2 linked regions of the Saccharomyces cerevisiae S288C genome follow. The gene in region 1 interacts genetically with each later gene. Each region holds a gene or a part of one and is shown in the gene's direction. Other genes may lie near its edges.

The links. A genetic interaction does not mean that the proteins touch.
Region 2: mutations in RCO1 (region 1) and HDA1 together harm fitness more than expected from each alone (negative genetic interaction), as found in Saccharomyces cerevisiae (7 studies listed by BioGRID, with this or other methods).

What each region holds. Positions count from the first base shown.
Region 1 is NC_001145.3:412,410-416,536, forward strand, and holds RCO1 (Rco1p), read left to right. Parts: upstream 1-1,572; coding exon 1,573-3,627; downstream 3,628-4,127. Other genes in the region: IRC21 (Irc21p), read right to left, coding at 1-464; SDD2 (Sdd2p), read right to left, coding at 627-1,064; YMR075C-A (uncharacterized protein), read right to left, coding at 3,279-3,644; sister chromatid cohesion factor PDS5, read right to left, coding at 3,787-4,127. UniProt on the Saccharomyces cerevisiae protein: Catalytic component of the RPD3C(S) histone deacetylase complex responsible for the deacetylation of lysine residues on the N-terminal part of the core histones (H2A, H2B, H3 and H4).
Region 2 is NC_001146.8:591,308-595,847, forward strand, and holds HDA1 (histone deacetylase HDA1), read left to right. Parts: upstream 1-1,919; coding exon 1,920-4,040; downstream 4,041-4,540. Other genes in the region: rRNA (cytosine-C5-)-methyltransferase RCM1, read right to left, coding at 120-1,592; serine/threonine protein kinase ARK1, read right to left, coding at 4,316-4,540. UniProt on the Saccharomyces cerevisiae protein: Responsible for the deacetylation of lysine residues on the N-terminal part of the core histones (H2A, H2B, H3 and H4).

The sequences.
Region 1 (4,127 bases):
AAATAACTAGAAATGTCATAGACTTTGCCGTTTATAACGCACCATAACTCGTCCTCACCTTTACAATGCTTCTTTACGATTTTTCTGTTTATTCTTAAGGGTGGCATTATTTTATAAAGGGGTATCTTTTGGACAAGCAATTGGTTCTTCAGTTGTGAAGGTGAAAACTTGAAGTTATCTTTTTGAAATACCGGATCATCGAGTAAATCCTGGATAAGCTGTAGCGAAACGAATTTTGTATAATAATTCGCTGGATTGGAGGTTAGAGAGTGCCAGTCCAGAGCACTGTGCCCAGGATCTAGTCTTATTTTGGTTCTTACAAGAGGCTTTCTTGACGACTTCGACATGGGCATATGCAGCGGGGATGATATGGCAGGATGAGCAACGCTTAGTCGCTGAGGAGCAGCGAATCTGACATTTGGTTTCGAGTTTGAAACATCTCTGTTCATGCCGTCACTACTCATATCTCTATGAGTGTAATCTAAGCACCTGCTAATATGTTATATTCTGCTTATTCGTCCTTTTGCTACACATAATTAATGTAACTTTAACTCTAGTTCTATAAAGGATATGATTTGTACTAAATGTAACATTATACGAAAAAACATATTATTCGTTTATATAAACTAATCAAAGAAGTCGTCATCATCTTCGTCGTCATCATTTTTAGCATTCTGCTTGTCAAATGAATTCAGATCTTCGCTGAAATCTTTCCGTTCGAAGATAATCTTACTGTTATTTTGTGAATTTTGTTGCTTGGCGATACCATTCAAGATTGAAACAATTTCAGCTTCAGTGATTTTATGAGTGACGTTGTTTGTAGCAATCAGTTTCTTTAAGTATGTCTCTACTGCTTGGGCCCTGTCTCTACGGACCAAGGCCACTCGAGATAATCTTTCTAAAGCTTGTGGCTCCAAGAAATTTGCAATAGCTGCACCAACGGGAGCGGAATTTTCACCTCCACCATTATTAGCACCGCTATTTCTATCGCCGTTGGTACCCCCACTGTTGTTTTTCAACTGAGCCAATCTGGCTTCCCTAATAGCTTGTAACTCTGGGTCCATATCTGAGCACACACTTCCTCCTGAATTGTAATCCAGAGAGCAAGAAGATTTTTCAACTTTTACTCTTGGTTCTCCTTGTAGAACCACAAGTGGTATAAAAATTCTCGCTTACCCAGCCCAAAAATTCTCATCTGTTTCTCATCTGTTTCTCGTCCGAATAAGTTTCCCGTTCGCAGCTAGGATTTCACCTGCTCACCATAATAGGCAACTTTCTTCCTCATGTAGGAAATTATACTATTGCTCTCTGTTGCAAGGTTATTTTTGAGCCTTAATACCATATTAGTAGATATAAATACATATATATCGTGTTAACCCATAAGTGGTAGTTTTAGTAGCTCGCTGCAAGATCTGCCTCATTCCTTTGTAGAGAACGACGTACCCACTACGCGTTTGAACATTTGCAACAAGCACGAGAGGAAGGAAGAAGAATACCAAGTATAAACGAGAATAATCACCATAGAAAAACCTATAAAAGACACTTCCATTACCATCTGCTAATAATAATACAATGGACACCAGCAAGAAAGATACTACTAGGTCGCCCTCACATTCCAACAGTTCTTCTCCTTCATCTTCTTCTCTCTCTTCATCTTCTTCCAAAGAGAAAAAACGTCCTAAGAGACTATCCTCCCAGAATGTAAATTACGATTTGAAAAGGAGAAAGATCATCACTTCTGAAGGTATAGAAAGATCATTCAAGAACGAGCATAGCAATCTTGCAGTTGAAGACAATATCCCGGAAGAAGAACCCAAGGAACTTCTTGAAAAGGACTCCAAGGGTAATATCATCAAACTTAATGAGCCATCCACCATCTCGGAAGATTCGAAGGTATCTGTCACTGGATTGCCGTTAAATAAAGGTCCTTCTGAGAAAATCAAGCGAGAGTCTCTTTGGAATTATAGAAAAAATTTGGGAGGCCAATCGAACAACTCAGAAATGACGCTGGTCCCCAGTAAAAGATTTACTCAGGTGCCGAAAAATTTTCAGGATTTGAACAGAAATGATTTGAAAACGTTTTTAACTGAGAACATGACTGAAGAGAGCAATATACGGTCAACTATTGGTTGGAATGGCGATATAATAAACAGAACTCGTGACCGTGAACCTGAAAGCGACCGCGATAATAAAAAGCTATCAAATATTAGAACCAAAATAATACTTTCAACGAATGCTACCTATGATTCAAAAAGTAAACTATTTGGCCAAAATTCCATCAAGTCAACATCGAATGCGAGTGAAAAAATTTTCAGGGACAAGAACAATTCAACCATAGATTTTGAGAATGAAGATTTTTGTTCGGCTTGTAATCAGTCAGGTTCTTTTTTATGCTGTGATACATGCCCCAAATCCTTTCACTTTCTTTGCTTAGACCCACCAATTGATCCGAACAACCTGCCTAAAGGTGATTGGCATTGTAATGAATGTAAGTTTAAAATCTTCATAAATAACTCAATGGCAACTTTAAAAAAAATTGAATCCAACTTCATTAAGCAAAATAACAACGTCAAGATTTTTGCTAAATTACTTTTCAATATCGATTCCCACAACCCAAAACAGTTCCAGCTACCAAATTATATAAAAGAAACCTTTCCTGCTGTGAAAACGGGTTCGAGAGGACAATACTCTGATGAGAATGATAAGATTCCATTAACTGATAGACAATTGTTTAACACTTCTTATGGCCAAAGCATAACTAAATTGGACTCTTACAACCCGGATACACATATAGATTCAAATTCAGGTAAGTTTTTAATTTGTTACAAATGCAATCAAACCAGACTAGGTTCATGGTCTCATCCAGAAAATTCAAGATTAATAATGACTTGTGATTATTGTCAGACTCCATGGCATTTGGATTGTGTACCGAGGGCTTCTTTCAAGAACTTAGGTTCAAAATGGAAATGTCCTCTACATTCCCCAACTAAAGTTTACAAAAAGATACACCATTGTCAAGAAGATAATAGCGTAAATTATAAGGTGTGGAAAAAACAACGATTGATAAACAAGAAAAACCAACTTTATTATGAACCTTTACAAAAAATAGGCTACCAAAATAACGGGAACATTCAAATCATACCAACAACTAGTCATACAGATTATGATTTCAATCAAGATTTCAAAATTACACAAATAGATGAAAATTCCATTAAATATGATTTTTTTGATAAAATTTACAAATCAAAAATGGTTCAAAAAAGAAAACTCTTTCAATTTCAAGAAAGTTTAATAGATAAGTTAGTATCAAATGGATCCCAAAATGGCAATAGCGAGGATAATATGGTCAAAGACATAGCCTCTTTAATATATTTCCAAGTTAGCAACAACGACAAGAGTAGTAACAATAAATCGGCTTCCAAAAGCAATAACTTAAGAAAATTATGGGATTTGAAAGAACTGACTAACGTAGTCGTGCCGAACGAACTAGATTCTATACAATTCAATGACTTTTCCAGCGATGAAATAAAGCATCTGTTATATTTAAAGAAGATTATCGAATCCAAACCAAAGGAAGAACTGTTAAAATTTTTAAACATAGAAAATCCCGAAAACCAATCCGAATAGAAACGGCGTACATACATAAAGAATAAATCAGGAACGTGAACACCTTCCTTACATATATACACACATACATAGGCATATGTATCGCATCTTAAAGTGAGAGATCTACCTATTTTCCTTTTTTTTCCATTTACAACATAGCAATTGATGTTTTTTTCCCTTCTAAGTCATCTCGATGTCATCATCTTCATCGTCTTTGTAGTCAACTTCTTTCCTGACCCTCAATTTCTTCATCACAATATTTTCGTGCCCTTTCTTGGTTTCATTTTTGTTAGACGGTGAATAACTGTCATCATCACTGTCTGATTCTCGATCCCCATCACCTTCTTCGTCGTCAGCCTGTGATCTCGCATGATGAACTTTCTTCTTTTTTTTTTGTGATTCATTGTTTTCGTGAGCTAATAACCTCTTTTGAAGCCTTTGTCTTTGAGTTTGTGACGTGTGAAGAATCCGTCCGATTTTAGCTTTTATATTGTTTTGTATTTTTTCAGTCAAGCTCTCTG
Region 2 (4,540 bases), on another chromosome or scaffold:
AAAATCTTCCTTTATGTGCGGGATGTATAGATTATTGAAATGTCTTTTCCGTAGTACTACAGCAAAAATGCAATAATACATATCAGATATACACATATATACATGAATGTTCTGAAAGTTTAATCTCTTTCAAAACAGACAGCAAAGAAACCAATACCACCGTCACTTTTTGGTAGTGCCCTGATACAACCCTCGGCAAGCTGTTGAGGGTCATAGGTGACTCCATCTCTAAAAACCTCTTCGAACTCTTCTACCTTGCCTCTTCTAGGCCAAGAAGGAATAACTTCTCTTTTTGGCGCTACTTTCCAACCCCATTCTCTAACTGACTTATCTAAAAGAAGGTCTATGACGACTCGTTCATTTTCTTCCGCATGAATGGAACATGTGCTGTATACTATTTTTTTAGCCGCTGGGAAACTCATTGCATGCTTTACCATCTGGAACTGAAATGAACTCAGCTTCGCTAACCTTGTCTGTAGTTCTTCCTTTGCTATAAACTCCTCTTGCTCATCCGGCACAATGCCACCATCGTCATCTTTATCATCAATTTTCCTTCTATTAAATGAGTCAAAAAACTTACGACCAAATATACCGCTACCGGAGCAGCTCGGATCTACAATAAAACAAGTAACGTCCTTATATTTTTCAGGAGTAGCGAGCTTTGTAAAATCACCTACATTGACACTGATGTTGGGAGAACAGCCAGCTATCTTGATCATTTTTTGTAAAACTTTTGCTCTTTCAGGATCCTTCTCGAAAGCGTATATTCGAGTATTATTGTCCTTCGGTGGTTCGGGATATATATAAGAGGCCGTATGGGTAGTCTTATTACCTGGAGCAGAGCAGGAATCTATCACAATATCACTTGGTCCTGGATTCAAAATGTGGGCTGGAAAACAAGAAGCACGATCTTGAATGATAATCTTCCCATGCTTATAAAGCTCATGTGCTGTAATTTTGTCAGACGGATGAATTCCAAACAAGTTTGGAATAAACTCATCATAATAGATAGACCCAGGAACTAGTTCAGACCATTTGTCTACCTTTAAAGTAAACTTCTTCCTCAATTCGGCTAACACCGGCTCAGTCTCACCATTTGGATGGCATTTTAATGGATTGATTCTAATCCATCTAACAGGAGGAAGGTCATTGGAAATATCCTCGCTTAATACCAACTCAGATAGCTCTCTTACTTTCAATTTGAGTTTCAATTTGACCATTTCGCTATGCAATGGGCTCTTAAACTTCAAAACATAATCTTTGATGGGGTGTTTGCCCATTTGAATTCTTTTCTGCTTAGACAACAGCAAATCATGGCAAAGCAATAACAAAGTTAGCCTTGAAAAGAGTGGTTTGCCCTTTTTCTTGGGTATATCTTCCAATATGTGTGCCTTTTTCATCACTTTCTCCAAATATGGTTTATATTTCCAACACGAATCGAGAACTGCATAAATATGTTTTGGATTACTTTTCAGCTTATATCTTTTACAGCTTTTCAGTACCAGCGTCTGCATAGAGCCGGAAATCCTTTCTTTTGCAGCCTCCTTCTCAATATCTTCTAGCACCCATGTTGCATCCCTGTAGAAATTCATGCTTTTTCGTAGCTAACTTCTCAGTGAAACACTTGGTGAAGAACCAGCTCTTCTCTTAACCTCATCGAATATTTTAGGCCAGTTTTTTTTTTCCTCACTTGCCATTTTCCCGCACCGTTTGGAAATCTCGAGGAAAATGCTTCTTTCCAAAAGTTTAATCAGGTCACTAATTAGGTAAATAGAGCTGGGAGGAAGCATATACAGTGTTTCGTCTGTGGAAGGAACTTTTATTTTTCTTAAATGTTTTAATTTTTAGTGACCTAATTCACATAACAAAATATTGAGAAAGGGAAAGTTGAGCACTGTAATACGCCGAACAGATTAAGCATGGATTCTGTAATGGTTAAGAAAGAAGTACTGGAAAATCCAGACCATGATTTAAAAAGAAAGCTAGAAGAGAACAAAGAAGAAGAGAATAGCCTCTCTACTACTTCTAAAAGTAAAAGGCAGGTTATTGTTCCCGTTTGCATGCCAAAAATCCATTATTCACCGCTGAAAACTGGTCTTTGCTATGACGTTAGAATGAGGTATCATGCAAAGATTTTCACATCGTACTTCGAGTACATTGATCCACATCCAGAGGACCCAAGAAGAATATATCGTATTTATAAAATACTAGCAGAGAATGGTCTGATTAACGACCCCACTTTAAGCGGCGTGGATGACCTTGGTGATTTAATGCTGAAGATACCTGTAAGAGCCGCAACCTCCGAAGAAATCTTGGAAGTTCATACAAAGGAACATTTAGAGTTTATTGAAAGCACAGAAAAAATGAGCCGAGAAGAGTTATTAAAAGAGACTGAAAAAGGTGATTCCGTATATTTCAATAATGATTCTTACGCGAGTGCTAGGCTGCCTTGTGGTGGCGCCATTGAAGCATGCAAGGCGGTTGTCGAGGGGCGTGTAAAAAACTCTCTAGCTGTCGTAAGACCACCTGGCCATCATGCAGAGCCTCAAGCTGCGGGTGGTTTTTGTCTCTTCAGTAATGTTGCTGTTGCTGCCAAGAATATCTTAAAGAACTACCCAGAAAGTGTAAGAAGGATAATGATTTTAGATTGGGATATTCATCATGGTAATGGCACACAAAAGTCATTCTATCAAGACGATCAGGTGCTATATGTGTCATTACACAGATTTGAAATGGGTAAATACTATCCTGGGACCATCCAAGGACAATATGATCAAACTGGTGAGGGTAAGGGTGAAGGATTCAATTGTAATATTACTTGGCCGGTCGGCGGTGTTGGTGATGCAGAATATATGTGGGCATTTGAACAGGTAGTTATGCCTATGGGGAGAGAATTCAAGCCTGACTTGGTGATTATTTCTTCAGGGTTTGATGCCGCGGATGGTGATACTATCGGACAATGTCATGTCACCCCAAGTTGTTATGGACACATGACACATATGTTAAAATCTCTAGCTAGAGGTAATCTTTGTGTAGTTTTGGAAGGTGGATATAACTTGGATGCGATTGCAAGAAGCGCTTTGAGTGTAGCAAAAGTACTAATAGGGGAGCCTCCTGATGAACTACCTGATCCATTAAGTGATCCCAAGCCTGAGGTCATAGAAATGATAGACAAAGTAATTCGGTTACAGTCCAAGTATTGGAACTGTTTTAGAAGGAGACATGCTAACTCCGGTTGTAATTTTAACGAACCTATTAACGACTCGATAATATCTAAAAATTTTCCTCTGCAGAAGGCTATTCGTCAACAACAGCAACACTATTTAAGCGACGAATTTAATTTCGTTACTTTACCGTTAGTAAGCATGGATTTACCAGATAATACAGTGCTATGTACTCCAAACATTTCCGAATCTAACACTATAATTATAGTCGTTCATGATACTTCTGATATCTGGGCAAAGAGAAATGTTATTTCAGGTACAATTGACTTATCCTCATCAGTTATCATTGATAATTCTCTAGACTTTATCAAATGGGGACTTGACAGGAAATACGGCATCATTGATGTAAATATACCTCTAACTCTGTTTGAACCTGACAATTACTCAGGAATGATTACATCCCAAGAAGTTCTAATATATTTATGGGATAACTACATCAAGTATTTTCCTTCTGTTGCCAAAATTGCTTTTATTGGAATAGGAGACTCATACTCAGGTATCGTACATCTGCTTGGTCACAGGGATACTAGGGCTGTTACTAAAACGGTAATTAATTTCTTGGGAGACAAGCAGTTAAAGCCACTAGTTCCTCTAGTAGATGAAACATTGAGTGAATGGTACTTCAAAAACTCACTTATATTTTCAAACAATAGCCACCAATGCTGGAAAGAAAATGAAAGCAGAAAACCAAGAAAAAAATTCGGTAGAGTTTTGAGATGTGATACGGACGGGTTAAACAATATAATTGAAGAAAGATTTGAAGAGGCTACAGACTTTATACTGGATTCGTTTGAAGAATGGAGTGATGAAGAATGAGGAAAAACTGGCCATTAATAATTTTTTTTCGGCAACCTTCATGCCTTATGAAAGTTGAATAATAATAAAGTTGTTACAATGTTCATTGTATAATCCAATATATCTAAAATAGGAAAAAGAAATGAACAAATGCATTAAGCTGTGTTTTACTAAGTATTATGGGAAAACGTATACATTAAAGTGGATGCTTACATATATAACACATTGTAATAAAGGTTCTTTGAACATGTTACCAGCCTCTTCAGAGATCGATCCGGTTCTGTTGAGCCAAATACTCACTTATCCAAGGATAACTTTCGTCCCGCGAGGAGCAGTGGTTTTGGAGGAGGTTTAGGCTTTAAATGTGAAGGCTTAGGTGGTGGGGTAGGTTTTGTTTTTTTGTCTTTTGAAATCGGGCCACTTGATTTCAGCATTGTTGGCTTATCTATCTCCCCTTTCTCATGCAGCTTGACCTTGGACATTTTCCTAGCGTTGAATGACTCCTCAGAAGAGTTGAGTTT